Linked DNA regions of Daphnia pulex. The protein of the gene in region 2 purifies or fractionates together with the protein of the main gene of each other region. This does not show direct contact. Links are inferred from orthologs where the notes say so. Each region holds a gene or a part of one and is shown on either strand. Other genes may lie near its edges.

The links. Proteins that work in one complex are often made in the same cells at the same time.
Region 1: the proteins of prefoldin subunit 4-like (region 2) and p53 and DNA damage-regulated protein 1-like purify together in Homo sapiens (co-immunoprecipitation; 3 studies listed by BioGRID and IntAct, counting the BioPlex papers as one, with this or other methods). This does not show direct contact. The link is inferred for Daphnia pulex from reciprocal best matches to the Homo sapiens genes PFDN4 and PDRG1.

What each region holds. Positions count from the first base shown.
Region 1 is NC_060023.1:8,880,396-8,883,557, reverse strand, and holds p53 and DNA damage-regulated protein 1-like, read right to left. Parts: upstream 1,958-3,162; coding exon 1,729-1,957; exon of another isoform or gene 1,666-1,728; coding exon 1,505-1,665; 3' UTR 1,484-1,504; downstream 1-1,483. Other genes in the region: intraflagellar transport protein 140 homolog, read left to right, coding at 1-181, 247-391, 457-633, 699-917, 998-1,483; hydroxyacylglutathione hydrolase, mitochondrial-like, read left to right, coding at 2,285-2,351, 2,426-2,538, 2,601-2,722, 2,789-3,015, 3,088-3,162. UniProt on the Homo sapiens protein: May play a role in chaperone-mediated protein folding.
Region 2 is NC_060022.1:3,650,420-3,656,185, reverse strand, and holds prefoldin subunit 4-like, read right to left. Parts: upstream 2,983-5,766; 5' UTR 2,869-2,982; coding exon 2,830-2,868; intron 2,748-2,829; coding exon 2,643-2,747; intron 2,478-2,642; coding exon 2,328-2,477; intron 2,277-2,327; coding exon 2,124-2,276; downstream 1-2,123. Other genes in the region: bromodomain-containing protein 4-like, read right to left, coding at 1-34. UniProt on the Homo sapiens protein: Binds specifically to cytosolic chaperonin (c-CPN) and transfers target proteins to it. Binds to nascent polypeptide chain and promotes folding in an environment in which there are many competing pathways for nonnative proteins.

The DNA.
Region 1 (3,162 bases), on a different chromosome or scaffold from region 2:
ACGAACTGGATGACCAGCTGTACCGATACGCCATGCTGGGCGAACAAGAAGAAATGATTGAAGCTGCACGTTATTTTGAAGGTTCATCGGCTAACAGCGATCGCCAACCGAGATTCGATCGAGCAGTCATGCTGTACAGTAAAGCTGGACTTCTTGATACTGCCCTCGATTTGGCTTCTAGGTAATATCTTGCATGAAATGTATAACAAGTGAATGTTTGGCTTATTTTTCTTGCGCCCTTCAAAGAACGGAACAGCATGAAGCTGTATTAGAATTAGCTCGACGTTTGGACAAAAACTCGAATCCTGCATCACTGCAACGTTGTGCTGATTATTTAGCAAGTCATCGCCATTATGATGCAGCTGTAGATTTGCTTGCCATGGCAGGAAAGGTAAGATTAGAATCTCGATATTTTCTACGTCTGAATCTAAGTCTGAAAGGGAATTTATTTTACAGAATTCCGATGCAGTTGACATGTGTTTGAAATACAATGTCACGTTGACAGAAGCGTTGGCCGATCAACTCGTAAATGGGGAAAATAACAGCCGATTGCTGACTCAACTGGCTGAAGTTGCTCAACGCCAGGGTGACTACCAGTTAGCGGCAAAGAAGTTTACTCAAGCAGGAGATAAAGTAATTGATCTTTGGTTTTTATTTTTTTGTTTGATTTCTTTAACTAATGGGAAATTTGTATCTAGTATCAAGCGATGAAAGCTCTCTTAAAATCAGGCGATACAGATCGAATTGTCTTCTTCGCAAACGTGTCTAGGCAGCCTGATATTTATATACTTGCTGGAAACTATTTACAAACCCTCGACTGGCGCTCCCACCCGGAATACGTCAAACACATTGTGACCTTCTACACGAAAGCTAGATCGCCCGATCTCCTTGTCGGCTTTTATGAAGCCTGTGCACAGGTTTGTAAATTAATTATTGGTTATTAACTTATTATTTATCTAAAAACTAAATAGATACGGCAATGTGTTCTTATTATTAGGCCGAGGTTGATGAATACCAAAGCTACGACAACGCAATGAACGCATTGAAAGAAGCGCACAAAATTATGTCCAAAACTCCTGAAAGTAGTCAATCAACAAGATCTAAAGCACTTTATATGAAAATGGCTTTTCTGGAGCAGTTCATTAACATCAGAAAAATGTCTGCCACAAACCTACAAGGAATTTCTCAGTTTGAAAGTATCTTACAATCATCTAGCATGGATTTAGGCATTTTGAAACCAGGAAATGTTTACTCTGCTATTTTCCAACTTTATGTTGATCACCAAATGCACAATGAAGCCCTCCAAACTTTGAATGGGATGAAAGCAACTGTTCCAAAGTTCATGAATTATTTGGATCCTGACATGGTGTCTCAATTATGCCTAATTCAAAATGTGTCATCAACATTATATCTCGAACAAGGTAACCAAAATGGAGAGGAAAACTCAGAGGATATAAGAGAAATTATTAATCACAGAAAATAATTTATTGATGATATTCAGACTTCACTTAGAAAGTGCTTGCATTATAATCTCAGCTTCTTTAGATATTGGTTTTAAATCAAACCCTTTCAGTTCTGGTTTCCCTTCAAGATCTCTCAAATGTTTCACTTGTTCTTTAAGCTTGTTGCGATGTTCAGATATCTCTTGATCAACCTCTTTTAACTCTGCAGGAGAAAGGCGACAATTTGAATTAATTTTGTTGAAATTTAAATGCTAATTTTAAATACCTCGTTCCAACAAGTTTTGCGCCTTGGACGTCCTTATTTTTACGAATATGTTTCCAATCGACACCCATGCCTTTTCACTAGGTTCCAAGCCATTTTTCAAAGCCCGAAAAGCTTCCCGTGTTTTTTGGCGCTTGAAATCCAATGCTACTATCTCGTCTCTGGTGATAAAAATCTCTTGGGCAGCAGCTTCAGTTTGAAGTATCAACTGTTGTGTCTTTTCGAAATCCATGGCACAATCTTTTTGTTTAGTTTGAAAGTTTGAAGAGATTGTTCTTGTTTGCTGTTGTATCGTCTGCTATTCATTTGCCCCATTGCCAAAATTGACGAACAAAATCAAAAGAACCAAATTTTGTATTGTTTCTCTGTCTTCAGTAATTTTGTTACCTTTTATTTTATTGTAACTGTTCTGCATGATATCTTGAATATTAGAGTTTGATTCAAAACTGATAATCATTAATCAATCAAGCGCAATTTCAGTGTTTAACGTGTTAACACTGTCTGTCGACTGCTCTGTGAGAAAGAGCTATCGGCAAGTGGCTCAAAAACAACAAAACAGATGAATACTCTAGTTCGTCTTCTACCTGAATCGTGTTTGCAAGCGTTAACTGCGGCATATTTTCGCTGTACGTCTACAGTTTTTATTTGAACATTATTTTGTCAACAAATTGAACATTTTCTTAAAAATTATTCTTTGTAGTTTCTGCTTGGAGAGCCCTTGGTTCAAGAAGTCACAGCCAGCTCAAAACTTGTATTGACTCAAAGATGAAAGTCCATATCATTCCAGCTTTGCAAGATAACTACATGTATTTGGTATGCAAACTTTTTGGATTCGGCTTATCACATGTAAAATACATTTCATACTTAAACTATAGTTGGTGGATGAGAGCTCAAATGAAGCTGCAATTGTAGACCCAGTAAACCCTAGCAAAGTGGTTGAAATTGTAAATCAGGAAAATGTGAAATTGACCACTGTTCTTACTACTCATCATCATTGGTTTGTTTTATCATTAGTATAGTAAATTTTTAATTTAAATGTTTGGGATTTTGTTTTTAATGACAGGGATCATGCAGGTGGCAATGAAGAATTAGTAAAACTTGTTCCTGGGCTTGCAGTATATGGTGGAGATAACCGTATTGGAGCGTTGAATAAGAAGGTTTCTCATGGAGATAAACTTCAGGTTGGAAACCTAGAAATTCAATGTCTATTTACACCATGCCACACTTCTGGGCATATTTGTTATTATTTGCCCTCAAGCAGTGTCAATGGACAATCAGCAGTATTCACTGGTGAGTAAAACTTTGAAAATATTCTAGTGGTTAAATGAGTAAATATTTTCAATATTGTTTCTTCAATATTAGGTGATACTCTCTTTCAAGGAGGATGTGGTAGGTTTTTCGAAGGAACGGCTGATCAAATGTATCATGCATTGATCA
Region 2 (5,766 bases):
TATCCACCTTCTCGGAGATCGTAGAGACGATCATTTGTGAAATGTTCAATTGTTTCTTTGTTAACGAAAAAAGAGAAAAATGGGAGAAAGAATGAAGAGCGGCTTGAAACTCCAGTTGCCTGGAAGTTTGTGAAGTGGCAGCCAACAACCAGCCGAGCTTAAATAGGTTGCCTCAGACGAGAAGGGAGGAGGCGAAAGGGGGGCGGAGCTAGAGTAGTATTAACTTTTCCCCTAAAAATGAGCCGGGTGAAAAAAAAAAGAAGAGGAAAGAAAATTAAATTTAAAAAGTGGAATAGAGAAAGAAGTAGCTCGTGTAAGAAGTGCCAATACGCGGTGAGAATGTAGAAATTCAAAAATGGAAAACCCATCTTCGCCGGATACTGTCCAGTTTCTCAATTTGTTGGTCCACCCCAAAAAGATAAAAAAAAAAACGTCCCGCCACTACGGGTGTTTTATTCCGCTCCAAAAAATATAGCCGAGGTGAACTGGTATTCAATTTTGCCATGCGCTCGTTTTTCCTCGATCGTTTCCCATTTCTTCCGCAACACAACTCGATGTCTTTTTGTTTTTTTCGCTCGAGTTCATCGAACCACCTGATGATCCGCGACCAGTGTACCATTCGAACCTTTTCCAACATGCGGTGATTCCGTTGAATATTTCCCCAAATTCGATACTTTGCCAATTATTTGTCGGGTTTTCCTTCTACAATAAAACTGTAAACAAAAATTTATTAAATAAAAAAAGAAAATACAAACAACCAAAAATACAAGTTTCGTTTTACTGGCAACACGTGTCCTTGTTTTTGTTTGAAGCCAACAACCGCTCGGACGTCGTACATGTAGGAGGCAAGTCATGGCCAGCACGTATCGGTGTCAAGCGTTGCCACCTTGTTATTTCTTTTTTTCAAGTCCTTTGACACACAAGAAACTTACACAACACCAATCATACTCCCTCTTGGAAAAATACCCAGCAGCCTCGATTGTGTGATGGAAATATAAATCGGCCAAGTGGTGTGCTATTTCTCTGAAATTAAAAACACTTCACTTACCCTTGGAGATGATGACAGAAAGATGAGAGATATGGTGTAGAGTATCCACACCTTTTCCTGTCTGTTGTGTACATCGCAGCTCGGAAAACAAAGCAATAAAGGCATCTGGGGGCTCTTCTTTTTTTTAACTCTAGAAGAAAGAAAGTGAACGCAAAAGTGCCATACGCATCGTCGTTCCCCCCCCCTCTTTTTGAAATAACGTGAAGGTACCCTAAAAGTTTCTCATGATTCCCAAGTTGAAAATAGCTTATAACAAAAACGTGTACCAACGAACCTTGGCCTAGTTACAAGTTTTTCCTTCTCATTCTTTTTTCTTCAATTGCTTTTAGAAGCAGAGGAATATTCCGTCCTGTCCTGTAGATTCATTCGTTTCTTTTGTTTGTTTGCTTAAAAACTTCGTGTCTACCATCTGCAGCCGGAGGGGGGACGATGCGGGTTTTCCTCTCGACCAGGGGAAAAGTGAGCGGCGGCACGGTCATGACGTGACAAGCTTCGCAAACCCACCGTCGAACGGATGTAATGAGCACAATAACGGGAAGGGAGGACTTTATGAACGTGCACGATCCGGATGATGAAAAACCGGCCATGTGATGGACAGCCGAGAAAACTAAGTCACTGGGTCAGTCAAGTGACAATTTCCGATTGGTATTCTTCTGAACCTATTGGGTAGTATCAACGATAGTCCTCTCTGCAGGTCGTGTCCAAATGAGGTTAACACGGACGAATACATAAGCAATAACAATCGATTATTTTACGAGGTCGTGGAGCTCGAGACTGAGAGAGAAAGGCTGGAAAACCGTCCGGTGAATGGCCTCTACGAAACTAAAGAGGTACCGAGTGGTAGCCAGATGCAGAGGCGTCGTTGCGGAGGTGCAAGTCAAGCGTTACATTTTCTTCGCAGATATTTTTAGTGTTAGGGAAACTAGCTAAAAATACTTTCTTTAGCTTTGTTGTTTACTTTTCTCTTTGTGGCTTGAGAGACAATTTGTTTCTGTCAGTGCTATCAAAGACTGTTTTTTTCTTTTTTGTATTGTTCTTCATTATTATAGTGGAGAAAGCATTTTGGACGTTTTCTTTATTCCTCTTCGGCTTCTAGGTTGATAGAATTACCGAATTTGGCGTACAATTGCGTCTTCAGATCGCTCATCAAAGTCTTGATGTTTGTGCATTCAGCTTCGATGGCTTCAATATCTTTTTTCACTTTGTCTTTTGCTTCTTCAAGTTTCTCCTGTGATAAGTCAAACAATTAGCGATAAGCAGTACTTTAACAGCGATGCACAATTGACAGAAGAGGAAAAAAGAAAATCACCTTTGCCTCTTCCATGTTGAAATGAACAAACACTTCACCTACAACGAAAGGAATTGGAGCTGATTCATCATCAACCAAGAGTAAATCATCTGAAGCATCCTCCAAGTTTTGAAGATCTCCCTGAACAAAGCATAGAGAAAACGAGTAGCAATGCAGAATTGTAAGTTTCAACGTGAATCATGAGCAGAATGCGAAAATATTTCTGCCAGCACATTTATGACACATAATAATTTTGAAGACTTCACACACATTACGAAAAGAAGCATGCAATAGAAAGAATTTCACCTTTTTATTTTTCAGATCATCCCTGAGCTCCTCCCATTTTGCATTGTGTCGTGCAAACCGGTTGATTTTCTGTTGGTCTTCCAATGTAATGTGAATGTCAGAGTCCTAAAATAATTTCAGTTACTTTAACTACTAGAAATTGGCAACACGTTAAGCTATAAATTCTTAAGTCAAATCATTTTCTTACCGATTCAAGAGAATCTTTAGAAACTGCTACTGAGGCCATGATGTTTTTCTTGACAACCCCTACGTAGCAGACGACGCCTATTTATCGATTATTTCAATCGATAATGATATGCTGGTTGCCATTATTCAAATTACTATTCTTTTTAGGATTTTTATTTTACTGGATTTAACAAGCAATTTCTTTATGGCACATTTCGTTTTTATTACTTCAATACTACGGCATTATTACTTCAAGAAAAATCGTCTTTATCCCAGGTGCATTGACCACTGGGAAAGTGAAAGGGCTATTATATTCCCTATTAAGTAAGGCCTACACGGCTTTCATAATTGTTAGCTTGCTCCATAAAATGTGTTTGTGTAAATTCACGCGCTTAAAGAGAAATTTTCTTCGGGTTTCTATCTTATTATTACGATACTTACTAGAAAATTATAATGAATCCTGATGGGTTCTCGGATTTTCGAAAAAGATGTCAAGCAAAAACATGTTGCAATGCTCATGAAGAAAGTCGTGCACGTGAAAGTAATATTATGGAAATCTGAAAAAAAAAATGTAATAAATAACGAAGATGTCTTCTATTTGTTTTTGAGAGCTTTTCTTTTTACAATAAAAGCAATATGAACACGTCTAAGTAAGCGGTTTTCTTTGTGGCGAACTTGCCATATTATATGCAGTTGCCCTGCAGATCGATAGCAAAACAAACAGAACGCAATAGAGACGAAATAGTTTCACATGTTTTAACCAATCATATCAATCTCCCCTTTGTGCGTCAGAGCCCGCAATAACTGAGAAGACGAGTTTTATCAACTTATGGAACAACAACTGTTTGATTATTAAATATTTCCTGGCGAATTCCATCACGCTATACGATTCACGAAAGCCACTTGAAATGTACGTTTTAGACAGAAGGCATCCGTCCTCCTGTTTCGCTTCATTCACATATCTCAACGTGTTTCTCTGTCGTTTTTTTATAGACCTTTATGTTCACCGAACAATCGACAACAGCTGCAGAGGTGGGTTTTGCGCGTTGACAAGTAATTTCCTCATCAAAGTGTCGTTTACACTCGGTTGTGCGGTAGCCTGTTATACCAGCGCACTTTACTTAATGCGGTCAAGCAACCCGAGCGTCCCTCTCATCCGTAAAAACAGCCGTGAATACCGAGTTGCTTAACCTAGTTAGCGTCAGTGCGCAGTACGTACAAAGAAGAAGAAAGCGTGATAAATGGTCTTGTTAAAGAGTAGGACGTATTGTGGGTTCGTGTTGATACATTAATACCTCATTTCGCCGCCATTAGATCCGCACATCATTTCTAAAACGTTTCTACTTTCTGTGAATTCATTTAAATGATGAACTTTAACTTGGCAAATGCGTAATAAGTTGGGTAATTTAAAGCTCTTTGAAAATGATGCATAACTTTATTTTTATCAAAGTTTTTCAAATAGAATAAATATAAAGAAAAGGCTTTTTATGGCTGGTATATGCCAGCAGTGAAATGGGAGAAAGCCGCGCGAGATCCTTTTTTTTGTTTATGGCGTAAATCTAAATGGAGAAAACAAGACTGGTCTGACAAGAAGGAATTGACAGGAGGAAGATTTAAAGTTTCCAAGCTGACTTAATAGGATCCCCGAATAAAAAGAGAAAAGATATAATTACGCACATACACTTGAAGATATTGTGATTATGCAAATGTACAAGAGTATATGCTTGCTAATTAATAACCAGCGATTTAAGCCAGATAACCGCCAGCGCCCGCCAGTGTCTACCAAATCTAAAAAAAAAAAAAAAAAAATTTGATTGACGTAGTCTGAAAGCACATTAGACTCTATTTGAGAAAAAAATTCAAATAAAGTAGAGCGCAACTTTCACGTGGGTCAGTGATCCCGAGGCCTGGAGCTCTGACGAAATCCCTCCCGAGTTGGTATATTATTCCAGTTCAATCGGATCATAGCTGGCATTTGACATTTCATTTTAATAAAGAAACGGCTAATAATCGAGCACATTTGTTTAAAAAATAAACAAACATTTGGCTAGAAAATCGGCACTGGGTCGATAATACTTCAAAGTAGAACAAGAGCTCATTGGCATGAACGTCATTACTGATGCCACGATAAATTTTCGGGCGGATCAGAAAGCCTAAATCCAGATAGACCCCAAAGACTATTATGTGTGTATACGTGATACTGATGGATTGATGGCGATGTTAACACTTGGAGGAAGCATATATAAATAATAATCAAAAATCTGTTTCGCCATGAAAGGGCTACATGTATCCCGTGTGTGGAGGGTTTGAATCCGCAAAAAAAAAAAAACATATAGACCAAAGTTTGAATAGGGCGAATCAACAAAAGGCACTGGCGTAATCTTGATGGTCGTTTCCTTCTCATTTTCACGCACTCACTCGTCGTCGGTTTGATGATGAATAAACAGACTCTGGTGCTCGACTGTCGCACATATCAAAAGAAGAGGGGGGGAAAGCGCAAAACAAGCTTTTGTTGAGCCTTATCAAAGTCGGTACCACTCTCTTCTGCTTCCTCTTCTTCTTCAACCAGCAGCAGTAGCAGCAGCATAGATTTTCCATTTTCTCCCGTTTCCTTCCTTCTTCTTTAGTTTGTTTTTCTTTGCCTTTCTCTCCCCCTTTCTTGGGTGAACAAGCTTCTCTTCCCTCCATCCCTTTGTCGTTCTTCCTCACCCGAGAGATTCGGGAACCGATCGAAGATCCTTCCCCCTCCCCCTCCCTACTGCTCCTTATATATACGCCGCTGAGCCAATCAATCCCGCTCATGTTATAGCCTAGCCGCCCCTTCTGCTAACGGCAGCAGAAGAAGATGGAGAGAGACGAAAGGAGGTGGATGGAGGGGGGGAAATGTATAGAGACATGGATAAACGTAAGGAGCCGTTCTCCTTATACACACAAGGAGCCGAAGAAGAAGAAAAAAACA